Linked DNA regions of Coturnix japonica. The main gene of each other region encodes a partner of the protein of the gene in region 4 in a complex. Links are inferred from orthologs where the notes say so. Each region holds a gene or a part of one and is shown on either strand. Other genes may lie near its edges.

What was found. The genes of interacting proteins can lie anywhere in the genome.
Region 1: the proteins of CALCRL (region 4) and RAMP3 are in contact, whole or in part, in a cryo-EM structure (PDB 6UVA), measured with the Homo sapiens proteins. The link is inferred for Coturnix japonica from reciprocal best matches to the Homo sapiens genes CALCRL and RAMP3. Residues at the interface, in NP_001258680.1 of Homo sapiens: Arg38, Asn39, Met42, Thr43, Gln45, Tyr46, Glu47, Tyr49, Gln50, Met53, Trp69, Asp70, Ser117, Arg119, Thr120, Phe228, Leu231, Ile235, His238, Thr239, Val243, Val245, Lys249, Gln250, His251, Trp254, Tyr255, Phe257, Leu258, Phe262; in NP_005847.1 of Homo sapiens: Trp56, Cys57, Leu59, Phe62, Ile63, Tyr66, Glu67, Thr70, Cys82, Tyr83, Pro85, Asn86, Pro87, Leu88, Gln90, Ile93, Thr94, His97, Arg98, Cys104, Thr105, Val106, Asp107, Arg108, His110, Leu111, Glu112, Asp113, Pro114, Val118.
Region 2: the proteins of CALCRL (region 4) and RAMP2 are in contact, whole or in part, in a crystal structure (PDB 3AQF), measured with the Homo sapiens proteins. The link is inferred for Coturnix japonica from reciprocal best matches to the Homo sapiens genes CALCRL and RAMP2. Residues at the interface, in NP_001258680.1 of Homo sapiens: Arg38, Asn39, Ile41, Met42, Thr43, Gln45, Tyr46, Glu47, Tyr49, Gln50, Lys51, Ile52, Met53, Gln54, Trp69, Asp70, Gly71, Arg119; in NP_005845.2 of Homo sapiens: Trp86, Ile89, Tyr93, Ser94, Arg97, Leu109, Gly110, Pro112, Glu117, Ile120, Phe121, His124, Gln125, Phe128, Ala129, Cys131, Ser132, Leu133, Val134.
Region 3: the proteins of CALCRL (region 4) and RAMP1 are in contact, whole or in part, in a cryo-EM structure (PDB 6E3Y), measured with the Homo sapiens proteins. The link is inferred for Coturnix japonica from reciprocal best matches to the Homo sapiens genes CALCRL and RAMP1. Residues at the interface, in NP_001258680.1 of Homo sapiens: Asn39, Met42, Thr43, Gln45, Tyr46, Glu47, Tyr49, Gln50, Lys51, Ile52, Met53, Gln54, Thr68, Trp69, Asp70, Gly71, Arg113, Arg119, Thr120, Phe228, Leu231, Ile235, Thr239, Val243, Ala244, Gln250, Trp254, Tyr255, Leu258, Phe262; in NP_005846.1 of Homo sapiens: Trp59, Ile63, Tyr66, Arg67, Ala70, Phe83, Trp84, Pro85, Asp90, Phe93, Leu94, His97, Gly98, Phe101, Arg102, Cys104, Pro105, Ile106, Ser107, Gly108, Arg109, Ala110, Val111, Arg112, Asp113, Pro114, Ile118, Leu119, Phe122, Ile123.

What each region holds. Positions count from the first base shown.
Region 1 is NC_029517.1:42,832,579-42,836,513, reverse strand, and holds the start of RAMP3 (receptor activity-modifying protein 3), read left to right. Parts: upstream 1-1,134; 5' UTR 1,135-1,336; coding exon 1,337-1,388; intron 1,389-3,935. UniProt on the Homo sapiens protein: Accessory protein that interacts with and modulates the function of G-protein coupled receptors including calcitonin gene-related peptide type 1 receptor (CALCRL), calcitonin receptor (CALCR) and G-protein coupled estrogen receptor 1 (GPER1).
Region 2 is NC_029542.1:4,631,949-4,635,895, forward strand, and holds the start of RAMP2 (receptor activity-modifying protein 2), read left to right. Parts: upstream 1-1,146; 5' UTR 1,147-2,528; intron 2,529-2,585; exon of another isoform or gene 2,586-2,645; 5' UTR 2,646-2,736; coding exon 2,737-2,797; intron 2,798-3,562; coding exon 3,563-3,691; intron 3,692-3,771; coding exon 3,772-3,874; intron 3,875-3,940; coding exon 3,941-3,947. Other genes in the region: histone-lysine N-methyltransferase EZH1, read right to left, coding at 340-386. UniProt on the Homo sapiens protein: Accessory protein that interacts with and modulates the function of G-protein coupled receptors including calcitonin gene-related peptide type 1 receptor (CALCRL) and calcitonin receptor (CALCR). Required for the transport of CALCRL to the plasma membrane.
Region 3 is NC_029522.1:8,560,586-8,564,768, reverse strand, and holds the start of RAMP1 (receptor activity-modifying protein 1), read left to right. Parts: upstream 1-1,382; 5' UTR 1,383-2,386; coding exon 2,387-2,426; intron 2,427-4,183. Other genes in the region: RNA-binding protein 44-like, read left to right, coding at 2-150, 272-418, 1,031-1,034. UniProt on the Homo sapiens protein: Accessory protein that interacts with and modulates the function of G-protein coupled receptors including calcitonin gene-related peptide type 1 receptor (CALCRL) and calcitonin receptor (CALCR). Required for the transport of CALCRL to the plasma membrane.
Region 4 is NC_029522.1:5,191,144-5,194,651, forward strand, and holds part of CALCRL (calcitonin gene-related peptide type 1 receptor), read left to right. Parts: intron 1-1,888; coding exon 1,889-2,107; intron 2,108-2,650; coding exon 2,651-2,692; intron 2,693-3,508. UniProt on the Homo sapiens protein: G protein-coupled receptor which specificity is determined by its interaction with receptor-activity-modifying proteins (RAMPs). Together with RAMP1, form the receptor complex for calcitonin-gene-related peptides CALCA/CGRP1 and CALCB/CGRP2.

The sequences.
Region 1 (3,935 bases), on a different chromosome or scaffold from region 4:
TGGAAATCTTTTTGAAGTTTAGTTTCACAGTGTACTGTTACAATGATGTCTGTGATTTAATGTTTGACTGAAAGATAGTTACTGAGGTGAATTGTGGCTTTTTATTCTAGAGCAGTACAAATACTTCTAGCTTAGAAAAGGCTTCTTTAGCAGGTTCTCAGCCTGATGTTTCTTTGCAGAGATCCTTATTTCCCAGAGAGAGAAAGAACTCAAGTTCACAGCATTTAAGTATTTATAAAAATGAGGGTCTTACCATTCTCCCTGTGGGCAGGGCCAGACAGAGATGAAACAACACAAAAATAAATCAAGCATCTTTATGGAACTTGTGGCTGCTCTGTTCTGGGTATTAAGTTAGATTTCTGCACATGTTCAGCTCTGGATATTAGTGAGTTACTGTGTTGGTGCTGCAAGTGAGCTAGCACATGTAGCTCTCCAGACCTTCATGCCTTCAACCCACTGCTGGGTTGCAGAGGCAGGAGGTAGGGGCTGCTTCAACTGGAGCAGGTGAAGGGTTCCATTCTCCCCTCTTGGATGCTGGTAGCATGCATGTTTTCTGTGGGTGTGAGAGAGTGAAGCACCCCTTTTAGTTCAGTTTCTTGGGAGTGGTATCATGTTGCTTGCTTGCTGTGGCTTTTGGGGGGCCTGCTGGCATGGTTGCATGTGCATGTGGGCGTGCATATTGATGTATGTGCATAGGTGCACACATGAACCATACAGCTGCACACCCGTATGTATGGATGTACAAATGCTTGCAAATGGGTGCGCACATGCATGCACATGGATGTATATTCACTCACAGAATCACAGAATTGTAGGGGTTGGAAGGGACCTCTAGAGATCATCCGAGTCCAACCCCCCTGCCAAAGCAGGCTCCCTACACATACACTCATTCATGTGTATATGCATGTGTTCACATGGATGCATGCGTATGGATTTGCACAGGCATATGCATGGCTGTGCACATGAATGCACACACATGCACCCACATTCATGGACACAGGCACACTCCTGTACACCTGTCTGTGCAGTGTCGTACATAACCGCACACAAATGCACCCGCCCGCTACTCATGCTCACGGAAAGCGCACGCTCCTGGCGCACCCCCACCCGCATCCCCCGCTCGGATCCTCGCAGCCCGCCCTGCCCCGCCCCGGGAGCACCCCGAGGGCGGAGACGCTGCGCGCTCCCTCACCCGCCTCGCCGCCGCCCGGGGCCGCCCGCCGGGGCGTGAAGGAGAGCCTGCCCTGTGGGAGGGAGTGAGACGGCCGTGGCATTGCGCGGCTACGGATCATCACCCCATGTGGGCTCCGTCCTTCGCGGCCCCATCCGCGCTGGGATGGAGGCGTCCGTCCGTTGCCGGCGGCACCTTCCCGTCCTGCTGCTTTGGGGTAAGCGGGACGCCGGGCCAGGGCGAGGCGGGGTAGTGGGTAGCAGCTTGTCGTCCCTAGGCTTTCCGCCCTCGCAGGCGCGGGGCTGAGCGGCTGCAGGGCGGCTGCACTGCGGGTACGGCGCGGCTTCTGCCCCCGAGCAGCATCTCGCAGGGAGATCTGTTCGCTGCAGTACGGTATGGTATGTGCATCCCTCCCGAAACTGAACTGAGCAGCACTGCTTGCCGTTCTAGCTGGGAGCCCCAGTCCGGTGTCTGTGAAGCAGTTCCGAGTGCGTGAGAGGGGAAAATTTTCACTGGTAAAGGAAGGGTTATTTTGTGTTAGAGTGGCTGGGTTGCTCACGAGCAGTGGTAAAAGTGCAGATATCTTTCAGACCTTGCACTTAAGGAGAGATCAGCTCTATTTCCAGAACTACTTGAGTGGCTTGTTTATTTATTTATTTAATTATTCATCATCAGGTAGGTTGTCTTAGGACTCTGAGATACAGTATGTTGTGGTCAGTCAGAAGTTTGTGTCAGATGACAGCTCTGAACTTCACTCCACAGTAACCTCCAAGATGCAGCTAATGTGTCATGGATAGGAGAAAAGAAAATCAGCCTTGTAGATTTAGACTGAGTACTACTTAAACTTTGTTTGCTAGCTTCTTACTCTTTCCAAAATGTAAAGCTGGTAAACACTGGAAATACCAGTAACTATATTGACTGTTACACTGACAGTGTTAGGTAATGTTGTCTTGATCTCCCTGTCACAAGAATGTAATGCCAAATAAATAGAGTTTGGAATTCTCCATGTCTTGAGGACTGCTAAAGCCTTACCTTGATCATTTGGATTTTTTTTCCTTTTCCAGCTGTTGAGGAATAATAATAGTAAAAAAAGGCTAACACCTACCTTGGCACATGATAATTTGTGCAACCTTGAGCTTAGTGAATCAACCAGTAATTTTTCTGAGTGGGAAATCCTCCTGATGTTACTGTGACTCTTGCAATGTGAAATTACAGAAGATTTTGGAGAGCGTGTAATGAGGAGCAATGTTGCTGTGGTTCTGAAAACTAGCAGTTATTTTTCACCAGAAAGGAACAGGTAAATCAATTGTGCCAGGCAGTTTTTGACTGTGCTTGTTGCTTGCCTAATAGCACTAACTAAATGGTTTTAAGGATATCTGATGACTGATAATGTGTTACTGTTGCTATAAGTTAGGAAGGATAGATATATTCAAAAACTAGACTAAATCATAGACATTTCCTGGTAGAAAAGCCATTTGGGAGCCCTGAAAATTTTGAGACATGAAATCTTGTGTGTGTATTTCTCCCTTTTTTCTAATGGCTTCTTTTGATTAACCAGAGAGCCATAAACTCTCTGTAAGCTGAAGAGTTGTCCAAGACTGGTAAGGAGTATCTCAAGTCAACACTAGTCAATCAACATCACTTTGTGGATAGTTTTACATTTGACAGTGTTTCTTGGGAATGTTTTCCTTCGAATGGGAGGGCCCAGGAGTGTCTGTTGGCTGAAAACTTGTCCTGTGAGCAAAGGATTCCAGCTTGATACGGAAGACTGGGAAATGATACCACTGTACCCTGTGAAGATGATACAAGCTGACGTCTCCCTGCTTCCTCTTATCTCCTGATTTAAATTTACAAAGCATGGAAGACAGGAGCAAAGGAGTTCCTGCTGTGATCCTGAAGCCAGAAGCTGTCACTCTCTTGAGCAGGCTCGACCACTTTGGACTATAAGTAAGAGGTTGTACTGTTGTCCTACTTATCAGCTGAACAACACAACCTCCTGTGAACTACCACTACTAAAGATCAGAATCTGACACCAAGACGTCATTGGTTTGAAGAGTGGTGAACCTCTTTGCTTCGCAGTTTGTACATCTGTCCATCTGTGTCACTTTCCCCATTTTCTATCTTTTATCTTTACAATCTTTTGTTCCTTGTAGTAGCCGTTGCCTAATGTTTTCTTACCTATAATGCTCTTTTTTTTTTTTCCCTCTCTGAGTATTAGTTATCGTTAAGAAAGCTCTCAGTAATAAATTCGTGTATATTTTTCCTCCAAGTCTGGGATAGCTCCATTGCGGTAGTGACCCCTGCTGACTATGGGAGACGCGACACGTGAAATAGATTTACCTCTTGAAACCTGCGGAGTGGGACAGGAGTCCTCAGTGTTAGCGCTCTCTGAATGCTATAGGAAGCTTGTCTTGTAAGGGACTGGAACCTCACTTCTGCATACTCACACCACTGCCTTCTGCCTGTCTTTCTGTTTATGGCTTTTAAAATATTATCATTACGTAGAACCATCTGTTGTACTGTCCCTCTTTGCAAAGATGGCAAAAAGGCAGTTGTGTGTGTTTCCTGGAAGCACAGAAATTATAGAAGTTGGATTTGCTGTGACCTGTATGCACATCTGTTGGGATGAAGGAATCTGTGAGCTGAGGCAGCTGACACATAGGCACGTAACTGATACTGTTCCCATATGAAGTGTAGATGCTTAGAAGTTATCTACCAACTGTAGGGTAGGATCTAAGCAACTCAGAAGTAGTGATGCATCTAC
Region 2 (3,947 bases), on a different chromosome or scaffold from region 4:
ACTTAAGCCTGCCCTCTATAGCTTATGGACAGTCCCCCTTGTCTTGTCGCTGTCCAAGCAGCTCTCCTTCCTGCTTGTAATCTTTCGATTCACAGGGCGCTGGGAGGCCAACATGTCAGGAGCAGTGTTACATCCAGCTCAGAATATCTCATTGCCAGGAGGCTGGGAAGGACATTGCGCAGGCTGTCAGCACAGGACAGCTCCTGGCTGGGAATACACAGTGCGACCTGATGGAGAAGTTGGAGCCGGGGGTTTGGGCATCGGGCATCGCCCTGTGAGCCCAAGGGACGCTTCAGCTCCCATCCAGGAGTCTGAGTCCCCGGCCCGGGCTGTACGTACCCAGCGGGCCGCTCCACTCCACCCACGGGGGTTCCCTGGGCCCCCATCACCGCAGCCTCCAGCCACGAGGGGACACGGGGACCCCCGGTGGCTGCCGGGACGGTGACACTGCGGAGTGTCCGGGACAGGCCTCAGCCGCTGCCCCGCCCGGTGCCCGCTCCCAGGCCTCACCCAACCCCCGGGCGCTGCCCCGTCCATCGGGCCCGGCGCACCCCATACAACAGCCCACGGTCCCACGGGGCCCCACGGGGCCTCAGGGGACTTAGATCTGCCCCCTACGAGCAGCCGCCAGCCCCCACAGGGCACGGCACTACCACGGCACTACCACGGCACTACCACGGCACTACCGCCCCGCTCCATCCCCCACCCCCGCCGACCCCTCGCTCCCTCCCGGGCCCCTCCCGCCGTGCCGGGCCGCCCCCCGCCCCCCGCCGGACCCCAGGCCCCGCCCCGCCCCGCACTCACTCCTCGGCCATCGCGCCGGGGGAGGCCGCGCTCCCCGCGCACTGCGCATGCGCCGCCGTAGCCCCGCCCCTCGCCGCCGCCCCGCCCCGCGCGGTGCAGCCCCGGAGCTGCGGCTCCGACCGGGAAGGGCGGCGCCCCGCACCGGAACCGGCCGCTCGCGGCCCGGCCCCGCCCGGCTCCACTCGGCTCCGCCCGGCCCCGCTCTGCTCGGGGCTGCGGCCGGGCGCTCCCTTCCCCAGCCGCGCTCCCGGCCGGGCCCCTTCCTTCCTTCCTTCCTTCCTTCCTTCCTTCCTTCCTTCCTTCCCCTCCGCCCAGCCGGAAGGAGCGGGGGGAACCCGCGGGTCCCTGTCCGGGCAGTGAGCGGGGCCGTTGGCTGCTCATCCCACAGCTCAGCCCCGGTCCTGGCCGTATCTGCTGCCTTTGAGCCCGTCCTGCTGAGTCGGGCAGAACCTTCCGCCTTCCCTGACATTGGGTTGAGCGCGGGTGGAAGGTGCCGAGATGAGCTCGGTGATACGCCCCGGCACGGGGGGAAGCTGCAGCCGGTGGGAAGATGCTCGTCGGGGCTGCGGCTCCTGCTCCCACTACCGGCAGAACCTGGGGTCTGGGTTGGACCCAGCGCAACCCCCGCAGCCTCACTGCCCACACTGCGCTGAGCCCCAGAGCGCAACGTGGGCAGCTGCAGAGCGAGTCAAAGCAGCAGGCGGGGTCCAGGCTGCGTCTGTGCCCGTTGTGCCATGGGCCGAGGCTGGCAGCAGGGCTCGGGACGGCTGCAGCCCAGCCCAGAACATGGGAAATGCTTCCCCCGCTGCTCAGTCGAGTCCCCCTCACAGCACTGCAGCCAAGGGCTGGGGGGAGCTTGCAAAATGGGGCTGGGGAGCAGTGGGTGCTGGCAGACTGCCCCGGCTGTGCAAGGAGTGGCCGGCTGAGATCACCGGGTGTCACCCTGGCAGAGGCTCCTGCTGCCGGCTGCAGCTCCAGGGCTGTGACAACAAAGTGCAGAATGGGGCTGTGACTTTGTGCCGCAGCCTCGTGGGCTCCCGGTACCGCTGAAGGGCTCCCAAGTGCCAGGAGGGTGGCGGCTGCCTCAGCCTGCACATAGCACGTGCAGTGTGTTGCAGCAGGAATGTGCAGCACAGCAATAGAATCCTTCCAAAGCAGGGAGGGTCCCCATGAACTGCAATTCTCTGCTGTGTGATTTGTGCTCTGTGAGTCCCATGAGTGGATTTTAAAGGGAAAGCTTTGGGCTGGAGCTCAGCCTTTGGCAAGCAGTTAGATGAGCTCGCGTGGCCTGAGCTCCATCCCCGGGTGGGGACCCTGCAGAGCCAGCACCGCGCTGCCCTGAGGTGGGAGCCGAGGTGGCACGGGATGAAGAGGAGCTCTGCAGCCACAGTCCCTCGCCCCATCCTCTCCTCCTGCCTGCTTGAGGCTCGCACACCCGTGGTACCGCCGCCGTCCCTTCCAGCCCCACCCGTGCCCCCGGGGCAGGTGCCACACGGCGCCATGAACACGGGGCTGGGGCCGTAACGACCCCGAGCCTCCAGCAGAACCCTCCGGGGACGTCCTGCTCCACCGTCCACTCCCCCCGCTGCCGGGCTGCCTGCCCTCCACGCAGGAGACGAGGGATTTCACAACCCAGCCCAGACAGGATTAAAGAGAAATACACAAGTAAACAAACAGCGGCCTTGTGAAGCGGCCGTGCTGCGGGAGCCCCTCTGCTGCCCAGGGTGAGGTGTGGGGCGATGCCCGGGGGTCCGACACTTGCTGCACAGCGGTGGGGTCCTGTGGGGAGGGCTGCCTCAGAGCAGCACTAAGTAATCTCATTTTTCACACGTCTCCTGTAGTTCAAACAGCCCCTGTCAGAGGAAAGGAGTTGCTTCCTGTTATTTCCATTGAAATCCTTGTCCCGGTCGCTAGCCCGCAGGCTCCAGCAGGATGGCACCGTATGCGCAGATGGGCTCTGGCTGCCTCTCCCGAGGGCTCCTGCTGCTCTGCGGTAAGTGCTCGGCCCCACAGCACGCGGCTGCACCCCGGTCAAGGCAGGACTTGTGCTGGGTGAGCGGGACACAGTGCTACGGCAGCCATCCAGCACCACCGGGCACTGTGGGCGGCCCCTTCCCCTTGGTGGGCAGCGATGGAGCGTCTGAGGGGACCCGGTCTGGATGGCAGCTGTGCCCTGGGCAGGGAGCGTGCCAGGGCCAGGGGACTGGGCGCTGGGGGCACGTGGGCTGCCCTTGCTGCCACAACTGTGCCAGTGCACAGCCGCTGTGCCGGCCCACAGCACACGGCCAGCCTGCACAGGCCACAGCAGAGTAGCTACCAGGGTGGTGTGCCATGCCCACACCGAGGGTGGAAAACAGACAGGAGTGATCCTGATTCTGGGGTCTGGTGGGGCCTGAGGGGCTGTGCCCCATGCCAGTGAGTTCCACAGACGGGGGGGGGCGGCAGGAGGCTCTGTCTCGTGGCTGTGCTGCGCTGCGGTCAGCACTTCCTCTTCCCGATTGGAAATAGGTGCTCCCTGCCCCAGTGCCAGGCGCTGAGTGCAGCACGGCCCCACGGTGCTGGTGGCCCCCAGTCACCCCGTCACCCTCCATCCCATCACCCCGTCACCCTCCATCCCATCACCCCGTCACCCTCCATCCCATCACCCCGTCACCCTCCATCCCATCACCCCACCGCCTCCCTGGGCCTCCTCGTTCCCATCACTGCTGCAGACCCGTGGCTCCCCCTCCTCAGTGCTCAGCATGTCCCCCTCCTGCAGCACTGCTGGTCCATGAGTTCTGCCGAGCGGGTGCCACGGCCGAGAGCTTTGGGCAGGAGGCAAGAACAACCCCAGCGGCCAGAACAACCCCAGTGACGCGTGTGTTCAACTTTACGGCTGAGATGTTGGGTGAGTGTTGACCCCTTTCCTCATCCCCAAACCCCTCCAAGGCCGCCCCATGGCTGCGCTCAGTGCCCACCCCCACACAGAGGTGATCTACACCAACTTGACACAGCGCTGCTGGGAGTCCTTCGAGCAGCTGATGCAGAACGTGAGCGGTTCCCAGCTGTGCGAGTGGAAGGTCATCAGCAGGTAGGGGGGGACGGGGGCACCGAGCCGGGGGTGGCGGGCAGCCCAGTGAGCTGTGCTTCTCTGCAGGCCGTAC
Region 3 (4,183 bases), about 3.4 Mb from region 4:
GGCTACTGGAGGAAATTCCCTGCCAAAAGCACCTGCTGCTCCTGCCTCCACTAATTCATTAGAAGCCTTTATGTCTCCTAAAGCACTGAACTTGAGCAGCTTTGCCAAATTAATGAAGAAACTTAAAGACGTTCATCCAGAAGCCAGCAGGTGAGAGTACTTGGATTGCATTTCTGCCCTGATGTATAATGAATACTATAGCCAGGAGAAGCTGAGCGCTAAATAATGGTACAACAAGTGATGTCAGCAGCTGTTTATGTTGCTCCTACAGAGATAAAATCGTGGATGCTCTGCTGGAGGTGAGGAAGAACAATAATGGTGTCCTAAGTGGCTTGTCCATCAGTTCTATTATGGAAAGGGCCTCTGTAATCCTAAGGAAACCAACGGCTGTTTGTACAGGGAAAGGCAGTGGCGATCAGTAAGTATTCCAGCCTACAACATAGATGTGAATTAATCTAGCTGCATAGCCTGACAATGAGAGCTCCCTAGGAACCTGTTCCTGCACAATGAGTATGAATCACTACAACAGCAGATTCTAAAGATGAGGTGCTGCTGCAGAACGTCTGTGAGCAGAGCAGCTTGCTGGCTCTGTGCACTCATCAACCTGGGTGCAATGGGGGTTTCACTGTGCGGGTTTTATCGATGAACGTAGTGGAGTAAATTAACAATGTTCTGGCCAAAGGTGACATCTAGTGGCCAGTTCCTGTGCAGCATTTCACAGAGGAACTCCAGGCTCGATTCTGGTTTAAAACCTGACGATTTTTTCTCTTGTGTGATATTTATTCCTGCTGTAGGTACTGAACAGAATAAGTTTGCTTGTCCCTTTGCATTTTAGCGTAATAACTTTTTGGTACGCAGTTCTCAGGGCTAGGAAACCTCGCTCCTGCATGCAAACTTCTGCCCTCCATAGTAAAAGCAATACAGCCTCTAGTGGTGCTCTGGGATGCTGACAACGCCGCTGTTTTGTTTCGCCTTACACGTGTTCAGGCAAAACTTAATCTGCTTTTCCTTTATCTTCCTTTCTGCGTAGATGATGTAATGAAGAACCGACCACTTCACATGACAGATTTTTGCAGTCCAGCTCGCTCCGGGATTGTTCTGTCCTTCTTGTTTGTTTGATTTCGTGACAACTCGCTTAGCATTGCTGTTTGGTTTGCAGTTCTGTTTGACCGAACATAGCCCCAAGTTCTTTTCAGCTTTTTGTGCAGACAGATATTGAGTAATTCTTCCCAGTTTGGTTGTTCTGTGTAGTTCCCCCTGTTTCTTATGAGGTTTTAAGGCTCCCATTTTAGCACGTTGAGACTTATAGCAGCAGGACTTCTTTCTGCTGAAGCACACAAGCCCCGGCTCCCGGTGCCGCTCTGTGTCAGGCACGGTGATAGCTGCCATGCTAACAAACAGCCGGCACGCTTACGTGCTTTCCAGATAACAGTTCCAAATAGTGGGCAGAAATGTCAAGTATCCTTTTCACGCAAGGCAGGGGAGGGAGAGGCAGCAAGGGCCGGCTTGCAGATCGCACGGCGCTGGCAGTGCGCTTACATAAGCCCCGTGCTGCAGCGGCTGCTCTGAGCAGAGCCTTGCCCAGGAGGGCTGGGTCTAGAAGCTTTTCTTTTGGGTCCTATAGCACTGTGCAGGGGAAAGCCTCTCCCACACAGACCCTCCCCGAGGTCTGCTTTGGGTTGATACGGGAGCACCCAGCCTTTTGTTTGCCCGTGGAGCTGCTCCCGTGGTTTTACATCCTCTTCTGGCGACGGAAGGAGAGGCAGCTGGGTGTGTGCCTGCTGTGGGGCTGAGGGAAGAAGCCAGCACTGATTGTCACTGGCGGGCGTGTGCTGTCATACCACTCATTGCTGTCCATCTCTGTCCCTTGGCTGTACTTTGCTCCTGGCTGCCCGTGCTGCCGAAAGCAGCCTTACCGTGAATAAAGGTTGAGATTCCTTCTGCCCAGAGTTGTGCTGTCGTTTTGCTATTTCCACCCCTCACTATTTGCTCTCCCCTCGCCGTGGTGGCAAACGCATCCCAAGCCCCGGTGCTGCGCTGCCAGGCGCTGCTGCTGCTTTATCCCGAAGCTGCGGGTCCAGCCTCCGCTTTGGTTTCCTCCCTGCCCGCACCCAGCTGAGCGCTTCGCCCTACCGCATCCCTAACAGCACACACCGCCCTCCGTGCTCCCTAGTTGTGCAACGAGATGGGCACGGTGCTTTACGGAGGGAGGCGTTCTGCTGCGACGAGAAAACGGGGATGTCCGTAACGCAGAGCGCTGCCGATTCCCGCAGGTGGAGCTGTGCGAACTCGCTTGATTTCTGTTAACACGAAACAAGCACCAAGGACGGGCACGATCGCGCCGCAGCTCCAGGCGAGGCGGCAGCCGGGCCCCTTGCTGCTGGCCATGGCACTGCTGCCCCGCCGCTTCCTCTGCTTCGTGCTGGGTGAGTTGGGCTGCCCCGGCATCCAGGGGGGAGAGGGGGACCCTGAGAGAGGCTCCTGAACGCGGGCTGTGCGGGCTCTGCCCGCTCCGCGTTGGCTGCGGGGGGAACGGGAAGGAGCGGCCGTTCCCAAGTGCTGAGGAGCGATGGGAGTTGGGCTCTGTGTGTGCTGCCGGCGATGCGGTCCGACACGGTCCTCTGTGCGCGGTGGGATGCACTGAAGAGCGCTCACGTCAGAAGACATCCCCTGCCTTTCGCTTCCAGTGCAGAAATTAACGACAGGGAAACCGCTCTAGGAGGGGTCTCTCCGTTTTTTTTCTCCGTTTTGCCATTTCTTAACCAGGCGAGAGGAGAGGAGCCAGCCAGAAGTGCTCCTTCTGGCCAATGCTTCTGAGCTGGGGATGGATTTGCAGGTGGGAGACCGCCGGTCACTTTGGGAACTCCTGCATCAGCCATCTGCTTTCACAAGGCGTGAGGTCTCCTCGATGTTGGTAGGGTTTCGTGCGCAACAGGTAGAGGATTGGCTTATAACCCGAGTATACTCATTAAAAACCTTACCACTGTGCTTTGGTACTTTGTGTGAGAAGCATATTTAGGATTGCTTAAAAAAGAAGCCGCACAGTGCCATGCAGCTGCTTTTGCGTGACACTGAAGTGCTCCTTGAGGAAACATAGCCTTGTTCTTTCCCCGTTTGCACTTTAGTGCAGGTTTTCTCCTGGTACCCTGCTGAATAATGCATGGGGCTGCACTGGGCTCATCCCAGCGCTGTCATTAACTGCACTGCTCTGTAGCTGCAGCTCGTTCAGGGGGAGTTAGGGCAGGCAAAGTGCACTCTGCTCTGCTAGGTGGGACTGTGAGGTACCACTGCCAGCACACAGCAGCTCCTGCTGCTGTAAGATTTCTGTCTGCAGTCCCTTTCCCTTCTCTAGGGTCACAAATGTAAGCCGGCTTCTGGGACATGACCCCACGGGGAGCTCGAGGCAGTGTCCCTCGTGATGGGATCCCTGCTGCTTTCCCCTTCCAGGGGTGGAATTCCCCCACCTTATTCCTGTGGTCACTCGCATTGTTCCCATCTGTGCAGAGCCCTAAACCCAATCTTTGCTGTTCTTTAACTGGTGAAACATCCAGGTGGAAGGAAGTCATGGCCAGGAGGCTTTCCTGGTTTGGCTGCAGGACTTCTGCTCGTTCTTTTACTGCACCTTCTGCCACGTGGTTTGGGTTCAGGGGCTTTGGAAATAACAGAGCGGGAGCTGGTGGTACTCCAGGCTGCTCTTTTCCAGTTCCAGCACTCACAGCAGGACGTCTGCCTCAGTGTAAGCCACTTAGCTGTGATAGATGGCAGCTAATCCTGGCGCTGAGTTGGGGATGCATTTCTTTCGCTGTGTCCTTTTGCAGGCTTTTATTTTAAAGTATGTCCTGCTCTAGTTGGGTGAAGAAAAAAAAAGAAGAAAGATTAAAAGAAAAAAAGCCTGTTTGTTCCTTCCTGCTCCATGTCTGTGCACAGATGTGGCTACACTGGGGGTGACCGCTGAGACAGTGGAGTGGTGAATGCTGAGGTCGCTGATGCTTCTGATGAAGCAGGTGTGGATTTTCTTTTTCAGAAAGGAAAGATCAAACAAGCTGTGCTAACAGATGTGCCGGCAGAGTATGAGTGCCGAGGCAGACACAGAGAGCTCAGCTCTCAGAGTGCAGGGGCTTTGCTGAGCCCTGGCTGCCGTGCCAGTGCAGCTCCTCGTGCTGAGCTGTGGTCTCATGGTGCA
Region 4 (3,508 bases):
GGAGCTTTTCTGTCTTTCTGATGTTTTCTTCCTTCCCCTGCTTCTCTTTTTTACTCTATATAATTGTTGGCAGGAAGGACAGATGATGCAAAGAGGAGATAAATGAACTAGACGCTATTACTCCACCCTCTAGAGTGGGATGCTAGACAGCAGTCTCGCCTCTCATTTCCTTGGGCACGGTCCTTGGATTGGCAGCACTCTCTCGAGGGGGCCTTTAGCTTTATTTTTATAGCGTCTCAAGTGTAGTTTCTGTAGGGGTTTTACAATGGATTAAAATAGAACCCTACCATTGCTGCTTGTCTCATTATTTGCATTCTTAGACTGTTGAGCGTGTATGTATGTATTTATATGCATATACATATGTGAAGACATTGCTTTTCGAATCGAGAATGAGCTCTAATATGCCGACTGACAGTTAGTATGGATAGCTGTGTTTGCAGTTTGGTTTTTTGGTTTTTATTTTTTTGTTTGTTTGTTTTGGTTTGGTTTTGGTTTTGAAACTAAATGAGCAGATATTCACTACTATTCCCCAAGAAGCTCTTAACAGCTACGGTAACTATGTAATAACACCGAACTTGTCAGATTTCTTTTACTTATTATTCTCTATAGATTATTCAAATTCACAGTTTAAAAAAAGAAAAAAGGATAGTCCTTATGAGAAGCCTGTTTAAAATACAGAGATGGGAGAATGTCATTCTTTATCAGGCCAACCTACAAGGTGCAATCTTTTAATAAATAGTTAACACTCAGGTCAGTTTGTTATTTCAGCCATAAAACATGGGACTATTTAAAATTTTATTGCAAAATAAATAAATATTAACGATAGGGATTTGACACAGTTCTCTTACTGCTGTGGAGCTCAGGACAACCTTTCACATTAGTACCCTAGGTCTTCAAAAAAGAGTGATGTTTCCCCCCCCTTTTTACATTGAAATCTTAAGAGAGCATTACTGTGACAGTATTGTTTTTTAAACTGTAAAAGTGAATGGAAGTTTTTGGACAGAAGGGCCAAGGTAAATTCAATTGTTTTTAAAATAAAAGTGCATCCGTAATGGAAATTGATTAGTTTTCCAATGTAAGCTTTTAAGATGAAGTGAGCGATCGCCGAGATGTATATAGACGAGGAAGGGTAGATTTTAAACCATATACGGAAACAGATTTTTGCACTGCTGTAAGGATCTCAACTGCAGAGAGCCGCGCTCGAGTTGCATGTATTACATTCACAATGGATCGCTGAATTATTAGGAGCTAATTTCAATCAGACTGCCGTTACGGATGCTGTGGTGATATCTGTGTGCTTTGCTTACCTTTTCTCAGAAAAGTTAATGCTGATAAAGGTCATTCCAAAGAATGTAATTATAGTTCATACAGGGCTATTAAAATGCACAACCGGATGCAAAATATTAAGCATTTTCAGCTTTGCACCGCATGTCAGATCTTTGTGTATATCGGCCTGCAGCTGTGGCCTTCTATAAGGCGCTTCTTCTGCATCAGTCACGGCTGGCAGTTCATTTCTATTCCTTCTTTTGTACAAAACAGCAACTGCCACTCTGTTTTTCACAAGATGCAGTTTAAATTCCTCGTAAGCATCATTCAGATTTGTACTATTAGTGTACTAGCAGAGAAAACGGATTGTAAACACTGGAAGTAGAACTTCGGTTGACACTCCCTTGAAAGGATAGAAGAAGACGCTCTGGGATTAGATGTCAGAGCCCAGTCAGCCTCATTTTCTTTAGTGTGTTTTCAGAGAGTCTTAACTTTTGGTAATTGTGTGACCAGAATGTTGTGTACGTGCTGCGTGCCTTTTTAGTCTTAGGGCTTTTAGCATTAAAAAGTAGCCTGCGGTTTATTTTCAGAATAGCTTCATTGTCCTTTTCTTTTTCAACAGGTGAATCTTTTCTTCTTGTTAAATATCGTCCGTGTGCTCATAACCAAGCTGAAAGACACCCACAAGGCAGAATCCAACCTATACATGAAAGCGGTGCGAGCCACCCTCATTCTGGTTCCCCTGCTCGGCATCGAATTTGTGCTGTTTCCGTGGCGACCGGAAGGTCGAATCACAGAAGAAGTCTATGACTACGTGGTGCACATCCTTATGCATTACCAGGTAAGAATTAAATATGTTTTGCCCATCTGTCAGCATATCATCATATCATAGTATCATAGTCTCGTGTGGGTTGGAAGGGACCGTAGAGATCATCGAGTCCAACCCCCGGGATTCGAGCCTCTGTGTAGCAGAGCGGCACTTCTACCACTTGTGCCACAGGGGGGATTCGAACCCCGGGCCCCAGTGTTGCAAGGCGGCATTCCTACCATTGCGCCACCGGGGCACAGCATATGTAACAAACAAAGGAAAAAACGATCCATTCATTTTACTTTATAATATAAAGACCTTTATGCAATAGTCCCATCAACAACTTGAGCTTTCTCAGTGTACTGAATTTTTTTTTTTTTTTGTTTAAAGAATAGAAACATACCATGGTCTATTACTAGTTTGTAGAGTGTTCTTATAAACTGGATGCAGATATTAGATTTATAGAACGTTCCGTTTGCTATGTTATCGGAATAGTATTGGGAACCTCTGATTGTTTTTCAGACCTGAAAAAATCCATGCACAAGTGAAATAAAGAAAGTTATCTTTATTTTACAGGGTCTACTGGTAGCAACAATTTTCTGCTTCTTCAACGGAGAGGTAAAGTGATCATTTTTATCGTATTATTTTGTGTTTATGGATCATGTCTATTCTAGCCATAAAGGAGATAGCACACCTGAAAAACATAGAAAGTCAGAGCTTAATAGCTTGTTGCGCCTCGGTCACAATTTCTTGAATAAGAAGCGTACTTTTGAGAAATCACGATTAGTTAGTTCCAATAACTACCTTCTTCATCTTTTTGCCCAAGAATCACACCATGTTTTGTTATTTTATGGAATGGGTCCCTGTTGCAGCTCTTAAGCATTCTCTGTCAACTTGAATAGAATAAGGTCTTGTGAACTGAGCTTCACCCATGAGAGTATACTTAGAGGGCTTTAGCATTTAAGATAGACACAGTAGAAAGCCTAAATATATATGCATACGCACGCAAATTTTCTCGGTGCAATTTTTGCAACTCACAATTGAAAGAAAAACCACAACAAACGGATAATAAATTCCCGACAAAGAAGCAGGACTTAGCCAACACTGTTGGCAGAGGAACAGGTACAGTCCTGTCCTTTTTTCTTTCACATCCGTCTGTTCATTTTTTTTTGCACTTAGTGCAGTTGCATGTTTTAATGGCACCAAACCTTGAGTTTCTTTCATCCCGTTGCGTTCTTCCATCATTTTATCAGACCAGCAATATTTACTTAAGCGTTAACTATTTGGCTAATATTCATTTCCCATAGATCTCGCTTCCTCCCCTTACTCTTTAATCTCCAGTCGTATGAATTGCAATGAACATTCCCTGTGGTTTCCGGATACATTTTGTTCACAAGAAATTCATGAGCGTCAGTCTGTGTCATTATTATTAGT